Linked DNA regions of Arabidopsis thaliana. The protein of the gene in region 1 interacts with the protein of each later gene in a pairwise test. Each region holds a gene or a part of one and is shown on either strand. Other genes may lie near its edges.

What was found.
Region 2: the proteins of FBA5 (region 1) and AT1G65000 interact in a two-hybrid assay, tested with the Arabidopsis thaliana proteins (one large-scale study listed by BioGRID).

What each region holds. Positions count from the first base shown.
Region 1 is NC_003075.7:13,388,883-13,393,828, forward strand, and holds FBA5 (Aldolase superfamily protein), read left to right. Parts: upstream 1-1,871; 5' UTR 1,872-2,683; coding exon 2,684-2,711; intron 2,712-2,790; coding exon 2,791-3,044; intron 3,045-3,160; coding exon 3,161-3,589; intron 3,590-3,689; coding exon 3,690-4,055; 3' UTR 4,056-4,383; downstream 4,384-4,946. Other genes in the region: FBA7 (Aldolase superfamily protein), read left to right, coding at 1-155, 288-716, 944-1,302, 1,648-1,654. UniProt on the Arabidopsis thaliana protein: Fructose-bisphosphate aldolase that plays a key role in glycolysis and gluconeogenesis.
Region 2 is NC_003070.9:24,144,981-24,149,471, reverse strand, and holds AT1G65000 (F-box only protein), read right to left. Parts: upstream 2,548-4,491; 5' UTR 2,317-2,547; coding exon 2,186-2,316; intron 1,220-2,185; coding exon 1,099-1,219; 3' UTR 671-1,098; downstream 1-670. Other genes in the region: GTG1 (GPCR-type G protein 1), read left to right, coding at 3,606-3,820, 4,317-4,417.

The DNA.
Region 1 (4,946 bases):
TCAATGTTGAGAACACTGAGTCCAACCGCCAAGCTTACCGTGAGCTCCTCTTCACTTCCCCTGGCAGTTACCCTTGCCTCTCTGGTGTTATACTCTTCGAGGAAACCCTCTACCAGAAAACCTCTGATGGCAAACCCTTCGTCGATCTCCTCATGGTCCGTCTCGGAAAAAGCAAACTCCAGCTCTAGTCTTAGTCATTGGGTCCAAGAGTTGCAGAGTTGAAGCTCTTGACATGACCCAAATGGAACTTACTGTTTCAGTTTGGATCTGATTTTTCTTTGGATCAGGAGAACGGTGTTATCCCCGGAATCAAAGTGGACAAGGGTTTGGTTGATCTAGCAGGGACCAACGGCGAGACCACTACTCAAGGTCTAGACTCGCTTGGTGCACGGTGTCAGCAGTATTACGAGGCAGGAGCCCGGTTTGCTAAATGGCGTGCATTCTTCAAGATTGGGGCCACCGAGCCAAGCGTTCTCTCCATCCAAGAGGACGCCAGGGTGCTAGCCCGCTATGCCATCATCTGCCAGGAGAATGGACTTGTCCCGATCGTCGAGCCAGAGGTGCTGACAGGTGGGAGCCACGACATCAAGAAATGTGCGGCGGTGACTGAGACGGTTCTTGCTGCCGTGTTCAAGGCCTTGAACTACCACCATGTCCTCCTCGAAGGCACTCTGCTTAAACCTAACATGGTCACTCCCGGCTCCGACAGCCCAAAGGTATCCAAACTAGATGTTGCAATCCGGTTTTGTTTTGGAGTCGTTGTTTTATTGGTCTTATATTTTGAAACTGAAACCACAACCAAACTGTATCGGTGTGATGCTATTTTATTTAAATTTACATGCCCGGTCCTTACGTAACCACAATCAAATGAATCACAGAGACATCAATACCTCGAAATGCAACGTTAATTTGCTACAAAACGCTAAAATAGTTCTTCTTACAGGTTGCACCGGAACTAATTGCGGAATACACGGTGACTGCTCTGCGCCGCACAGTCCCACCAGCTATTCCGGGAATCGTGTTCCTCTCAGGCATACAGCGCGAAGAGCAAGCGACACTAAATCTAAACGCAATGAACAAGCTTGATGTGTTGAAGCCATGGACGCTCACTTTCTCTTTTGGCGGAGCCCTCCAGCAAAGTGCTATCAAGGCTTGGGCCGGTAAGCCCGAGAACGTAGCCAAAGCTCAGGCCAAGTTCCTGACCAGGTGCAAGGCTAACAAGGACGCTACCCTCGGGAAATACACCGGCTGGGCTTCTGGTGACTCGGCCGCTTTCGAGAACTTGGTTGTGATAGGATACAGGTACTAGGATCCTTTGAGAACGGGCGTTTGCCTTTGATGCGGTTTGAGTAGATATCTAATGTTTCGTGTGTGTTTTAACTGTTTGAATGTTCAATTTTGCAGACTGCTAATAATTGTTATTTTCCGGTTACTGTCAAACTATCCATGTGAAATTCACGTTTTGAAAAGCTAATAATAATGTTTTTATTGTATGAGAATAAATTTAGAAAACTAAAAATTGTTAAGGACATATTACAAGATATCTCCTCTTTTCGCTTTGCTCTAGTGCACATTGTTAGCCAATTCAAACACACTTGAAGTGCTTAATGACACTGAAATTGAATATGATCTTGTCCGGAAACACAGCGGCTGAAGCTATCAACCTTCTTATAAGCAATGGGCGTACTTGAGGGAAACATCATATTTTTAAACCTTGTCTCAGTAAGCTAACACACACCCCTTGTGATTACTTATCCATGTTTATCCACAAGAATGCAGTTGGATTGAGATATTTTCTTCTTTGTTGAAATCAGGCCTCAAGGTGTTCATGTGGTCTGCAAAAAAATTCCCAAAAATAAAGATAGTGACATCTGAAATCGATAATGGATTAGACGAAGAGTTTCGTGTTATTCCTTGGTATGGGCGGGTTTGGGGACAGATATTTTGGCACAGACGAGGACTAGGCCACTGTGGTCCTGCAGCATTAGGTGTCCCTTCCATGTCCTGCATTACATTTTATTGATGGATTCATCACCCTATCTACTACAACGGCTACACAAACTATGAAGAGTTTTGTTTACTAATAAATGCCCAAGTGAGGGGTCGATCGAACCCGGGACACGTTTTTCAGTTTACCATATAGAATTATCCTTGGAACCCTTGATACTCCATAAAACATCACCACCTCTGTTGTCATCTCATGAATCCAGGTTCAAACCTAGTCTCTCTCTCCCTAGTGGGAGGTATATGGCCACTGGGCCAATGATGACAAAATGCAAAAAAAATAAAATACATTTGGGTTCATTATCTAAAATATCTCTTGTGTTTGTAAGTTTTGGTTGCACACTCGTGTGGTTGAAGTGTGTGTGAGAGGTACTATACAATACACTCTGCTTTTGTTTTGTACCTATCTCTTTCTCTTCTCCACATATCCAAGACTTTGGGGATAAAGCTGAGATCATTGGTTGCCATTTGGTTGTGTAGAAGCAATCACCCATTTGCTTTATCCGAGGTTGATAAATTTCCTCGGGTTCTCCTTCTGACACGTATGACAAATTCTAATAGTATATTCCTCGTAGATATTACCTATATATTCTCAATAGTTGCAGGTACTTAAGGCTTTGTCTTGGCATCCTCGTCCTCTTCAGCAAAACTCGTCTCTCTTGCACTCCAAAAAGCAACCATGTCTGCTTTTGTCGGCAAATACGCAGGTAAATTCATACACTTAACATGCACTCTTCTTGTTGAATAACTTAGGTTCTCTCTCTTTAATGCGCTTTCTGTGTTCAGATGAGCTGATAAAGACGGCTAAGTACATTGCCACACCGGGAAAGGGCATTTTGGCAGCAGACGAGAGCACGGGAACTATTGGGAAACGATTCGCCAGCATCAATGTTGAGAACATTGAGTCCAACCGCCAAGCTCTCCGTGAGCTCCTCTTCACGTCCCCTGGCACTTTCCCTTGCCTCTCCGGTGTTATCCTCTTCGAGGAAACCCTCTACCAGAAAACCACGGATGGCAAACCCTTCGTTGAGCTCCTCATGGTCCGTCCCTGAAAAACCAAACTCCAGCACTAGTCTTAATCATTAATCATTGGGTTCAAGAGTTGCAAAATGGAACTTACTATTTCAATTTGGATTCTGATTCCTTTTTGTATCAGGAAAACGGAGTTATCCCTGGAATCAAAGTGGACAAGGGTGTGGTTGATCTAGCAGGAACCAATGGCGAGACCACTACTCAGGGTCTAGATTCACTTGGTGCACGTTGCCAGGAGTATTACAAGGCAGGAGCTCGGTTTGCAAAATGGCGTGCAGTCCTCAAGATTGGGGCCACCGAGCCAAGCGAGCTCTCTATCCAAGAGAACGCCAAGGGGCTAGCCCGCTATGCCATCATCTGCCAGGAGAATGGACTCGTCCCAATCGTCGAGCCAGAGGTACTGACCGACGGGAGCCATGACATCAAGAAATGTGCAGCGGTGACCGAGACCGTTCTTGCTGCCGTGTACAAGGCCTTGAACGACCACCATGTCCTCCTCGAAGGCACTCTGCTTAAACCGAACATGGTCACTCCCGGCTCTGACAGCCCAAAGGTAACGAAATTAAGGATTATAGATCGTTTGATGCTACTCCTTATGGAACCACAATCAAATGAATCACAGAGACATAACTCTAAAACTATATTTCTAACAGGTTGCACCGGAAGTGATAGCGGAATACACAGTGACTGCTCTGCGCCGCACAGTCCCACCTGCAGTTCCAGGAATCGTGTTCCTCTCAGGCGGACAGAGTGAAGAGGAAGCAACACTAAATCTGAACGCAATGAACAAGCTCGATGTGTTGAAGCCATGGACTCTCACTTTCTCATTTGGCCGAGCCCTCCAACAAAGCACTCTCAAGGCTTGGGCAGGTAAGACAGAGAATGTAGCCAAAGCTCAGGCCACTTTCCTGACCAGGTGCAAGGGTAACTCGGACGCTACCCTCGGGAAATACACCGGCGGGGCTTCTGGTGACTCGGCCGCCTCTGAGAGCTTGTATGAGGAAGGATACAAGTATTAGGAGCGTTTAAATACGGGTGTCGCCTTTTATACGATTTGAATATATGTCAAATGTTTCGTAGGCGTTTAACTGTTTAAATTTTTATCGATTTGGTTTAGCGTCTGTGTAATGTTCTTAAACTGTGTTGTGTTTTTTGTGATGGTTTCTATAATATTTTCGCGCCATGACATAACGGTTCGTTCAAAAGTTCGGTAATATCCCCTAAGTGGGTCCCACAAGGAAGTCTATCTTCTTCTTAATCACCAAAAAAAAGAAGTCATTTTCCGAAGGAGAGATATTTTTACTTGATATTTTATAATTGTAAGAATGATCTAAAACTAGTTTGGTTATAAATCCAAATCTTTGAACTATTTTTGATAACATTGTTCATGAATTAGGGATCAGGCGGATGCTCTTACAAAATGGATTAGGGCTTGTGCAACATTATCCTGCTTATTATGTGAACAAAATTGAAGAAACATTTATGCTTAAAAGTTATCCGAATAACAATCATAATATTAATGTTAATAATCGAAGAGAACAAAAAAAAGGGCGTTTATTTAGGCTGGAAAGTCGAAGTCATTGTTATTGAGACAGCACATGCTCATGTGATGAGGGTGGCTCAAGGGTCCACGTGATCCACTCGCTTCTGTCTTAAGCCTCTCTTCTTCTTATTCTTCTTCATAATTTCACAAATCGTTAATATAAAAACAAACAACCAAAACACAAAACAAATCACGCATCGTTATCGCGTGTGACTCCAAATGCTCCAGTCCCAATCGGTCATTATCCTATAAAATAGATTATATTCGAGTTGTATGTTAATAAACAATCACAACATTAAAAAAATGATAAAACTCACATACTCTAACCAACCTCTAATACATACAGTACGTCAGATAGAGTCGTTAT
Region 2 (4,491 bases), on another chromosome or scaffold:
AAATCCTCAGCATTGCTGCGAGAAGTCAGATCGATTTCATGGTCTTCTTCTTCTTCTTCTTACAGGACTACAACAGCACAAAGTCTTGAACTTACGATTAAGGGTCTTGTTAGAAGAACACAAAGTCTTGAACTTTAGGCAAAAGAATGGTAGGAGAGACTAATAATGAGTAATGGGTTGCGCTGTCTCCATAGTGGTCACCCTCTCTCTCTCCTTTCTTTCTCACCGCTTTTGCTTTTTTTTTTTTTGGGGAGTAATATATTATGATGACAAAAGAAAAAAGAAGAATAATAAAAGCTGTGAGTGAAGTGGACCAAAACAAGTTGGCTTTATTTAATAATGGAGGTGAGAATAAATCTCTCTAACGATCTGATTTAAGACCAGAGAGTTTGAGATCTTGGAGTTGTGTCATGTGGACTTCATGTGCTCTACTCAATCATGTTGATTTTTTTTTTCTCTTAATGAGATCTGCTAAACTTAGTTTAAACTTTAAAGACAGTCAATTTATTAATATAATTATAATTTGTCCACATTCAAATGTTTTCTCTACCTTTGTTTGGATATCTATTGTTGACACAAAATAAGAAATTATAAGTGCATCAGAAATCTTGGTGTTCATAGAAAAGAGGGATGATAGTGCAAGATTATTTCTCATAAGTACTGTCTCAAGATTACTTCTAGATCTTCTGAAATTTGTTTTGTAAATTTTTCCACATTTACTTGCATTAGTTAATTAACCTATATGTCTGATTTAGATTTTTGTTGTTGGTGTTCATAAAAAGAATATAAAGTTTTGACTCTTTTTAAAGCAACCATAGAAACAAGAACATTCCTTACAAATAAACATAAAATCGTTAGTCGTTCCGGAATTTTCTCACGTCAAATGATTCTGACACTCCTATTCACAAAACCGACAAAAGCTGTAACACAACAGCTCACTCTGTAGCTGTGTGCAATGCAAGAAGTGGTTCAAGACAGTACCCAGCAGAGAGATCACAAGCTAAGTCTTTTACTCCTAAGAAGGCTACAATAATTTAAGATTATTTACATGATGTTTTTATGGAAAAAAAAAGGCTTATGAGAGCTCTCACTCATACATCAGTCATCATATGAAATGTGAGGGTTTGTGACACAACCTGGTGCATTAGGATCCTCTGCCCCGCAACAATCATAGAACTTGGCAGCATACGGTGGATCATCTGGTTTCAATTCATAGTACCTTCATTTATTGATTAAAAAAAACAAGTTCTAGTTAATTCCACTTCTTAGTAAAAAGTAGAAATCAAACAGATGCATCATACTCAAGTCGATTAAACATGGTTTGGAATAAATATATATTCAGTTTCGAAACACCTTAAAATTAAAATGAAATAACAAATATCAGGTACCAGCAAGAATATGAATGCCAAAACCAACAACCATAAACACCAAAATAAACTCATTCGTTGCACATAACGATAAAAGCTCAACAAAAGATAGTTAAGTCTATGCTATGTGGGTAACTACAATGCATGGAACAGAGAGAATCACAAACAGAGGAAGTAAGTAAATAACCAAAGGAGCCAATAACGGAACAGAGACACCTACGTTCCTTCCTAGTCCAAAGTTTATTACCAAGATAAAACACGCAACATAGAATCAGATGATAAATCTCTAAACTGTATTTTTCACCACTCTTTATTTATGCTATTAACCGTCGACTAAACCATTTTTTCAACTAGCAGAACAAAGTGTAGGCCACTAGACAGCTTGAAAACTTGTCGAGATAATTTTTTATCCTCAGTGGTTAAGAGTATTCGACGTTTAAGAGTGACCACAATCATTAAACAGCTTCATGATTATGCCTAAAGAGTTTGAAATGGGCAAGGCAAATACAACAGTAGCTAATTATCTGCAAAGAAGGCTAAGAGCTAGTTTCAAATCAACCAAAACATGACCTTTGACCCACAAATAGCCATTAAACTGAGATCATGATCATCTATCACTTCAAAATTATTGGCTACAAAGAATCTAAGGTATCTAACTAAATTAGCTATAGATCCAGAACCTTAATACAATAAAGTGGATGGCTTTCAAAACCCATCTCAACAATTTGTGCTTTGCCATTATAAATTAGCGAATCAAGCTGCTTGGGATGTGAGATTCTTCATTAGTGAATAGATTTAGGGTTTGTAGGAGACATAACCTTTTCTGGTCATCGTGACGACGACAAACGAAGAAGGAAGGATGAAAACGGCAAGAGGAAGTTTCGTTTGAAAGATCTGTGTAGCTTTGTTTGCACCTTTGGCACAACTTCTCCATCTCCTTCTTCTCCATTCTCGAAGAACACTGTAATCAATTTCCTAATTTCTACGGCAAGTCAAATGGATCCGATTCCGGTTCACCGGAAGTTTGGTATTGCCTTTCGATTCCGGTAGATTAAATCAGTAATCTACGTTTTAGCAAAGATGAGCTGTTTTTGCTGTATTGACTTATGGGCCTTAATGGGCTTATTGGGTTTAGTTTTTATTTTTATTTTTATAACTTGGCCTCATTTTTCTGATAGTGAAATGTAGGATTGAAAAGCATAAAAACATTATAAACAAAATAGCTCAAAACTTTTTTTTGTTAAATAATTGTGATATAATAAGAAAAACGTTTTGTAGTTTTTTTAATTTTGAATTATTTTTTCCACATGCATCAAATATAACATACACATGAAAATCAAATATAAATGTATGATAAATATTGTGAATGGTAAAAATAATAGAATCACGTTATGAAAAATGGTATATTATACATCATCGATTGGTGTCTGATAAGTTTGGAGGAAACTTTAGCAATAATACAGGTTTTCTCTATTTATTCATTAGCTAATAGGATTATTTATACAAAAATCATAACTTGATTAGCAAGTTCTTTACATTTATGATAATATTAAATTTTCTATCTAACAATAAGAAAATGTACACAAATATTAATTTTTTATTAATGATAAAAAAAATATTTATCTTGATCCCGTAATTATAAGATTTATCATGAACTATCGATATCCCGATCTTTCCCTTCCCACTTCCCGCAAATTTATATATGGTAACACGTGTAAGATTGGACAAGCCTTCTAAACAACAATTTTAATGAATCGATCATTTTTCGTGTATATATGTAAAAGTGAAAGAAAAACAAAAAAATCAATCGACCAGATAAGAAAACATGTCGGAAAATGGAGTTAAAATTATCATCAACACTAGACTAGACGCCAAAACCTATAAACAAAAAAAAAGGATAGAAACACTATTGTTGTGCAGTTTCTTTCACATTACTCCGTAGCTCAATGGTTGGTTAGCGTTTAATAACGCCTTCCTCTCTGCGAGTTCGAGTTGAGTCGCATGGTGGTGGTGGTGATGATGAAGTTGATGAGGTTGTTGTTGATTAGAGTTTAAACCAAATAAACCCTAACCAAAAATAAATAAGGTATTCTTAAATACTTTTTTTTTAATTGTTTCATAAATGATCAAATTCGAATCGAATCGTACAACAGAAGCTCTGGTGTTGAATCGCCATGAGGTTTTTGCAGATCTGAGGTTTTTTCTCGAGAAGTAAGAGAGATCTGGAATTTGGCGACGATGAGTTACGGATGGGCGATATACGAAGGCACGGTGGTGATAGCTTCACTAAGTCTCTTAGGATGGGCAGGTTTATGGTTTCTTAATCGGAGATTATACAAAGAGTATGAAGAGAAACGAGCTTTGGTTCAAATCATTTTCAGTGTCGTCTTCGCTTTCTCTTGTAATCTATTGCAGCTCGTTTTGTTCGAGATCATACCTGTTCTCTCTAGAGAGTAAGTCTTTTCTCGAGTAATCCACTCTGTAGTTTTTGATATTTAGCTAGTTTTGGTGTTTTCTGGCATTGGAGGTTTTTGGAAACTTTACTTATTTGTTGTCTTCTAGATTGTGTTACTTACTTGGTCCTCCTTTGTTTGCAATTGCTTAATTTTGTTGACTTCTTACCTAATTGGCAATGATTTTGAGATTGAGTGTAGATTGATGGAGTTATTGTCTTAAGAATTTTTTTACTTGACAATTTTTTTGGTGTATGTGTAATGTAATCGAGTATATAAACTGTGTGGTAGCTAGCTTCTCTTGTTTATTCCTTTATGTCATGTGGAAATTTGATACTTGATACTAGATGCTTATATCATTGAGCTTTTGAGGTGTTTGTCATTGTACGTAATACTTATATTGGAGGGGGAATTCATGGCATTATGTAGCAATTGTTTAGTTGGAATATTAATTTAGAGTTTTAAGCCTTGGACCGATCTTTTGATGATTTTGCAGGGCAAGGATGATAAACTGGAAGGTGGATCTTTTTTGTTTGATACTTCTTCTGGTTTTCATGTTGCCGTATTACCATTGCTATTTGATGCTTCGTAATAGTGGTAAGCCTTATTTCATATGTGAATTTTCTTTGCTCTTATCACTTCTTGTTTAGAAGGTAATCACTATAATTGGT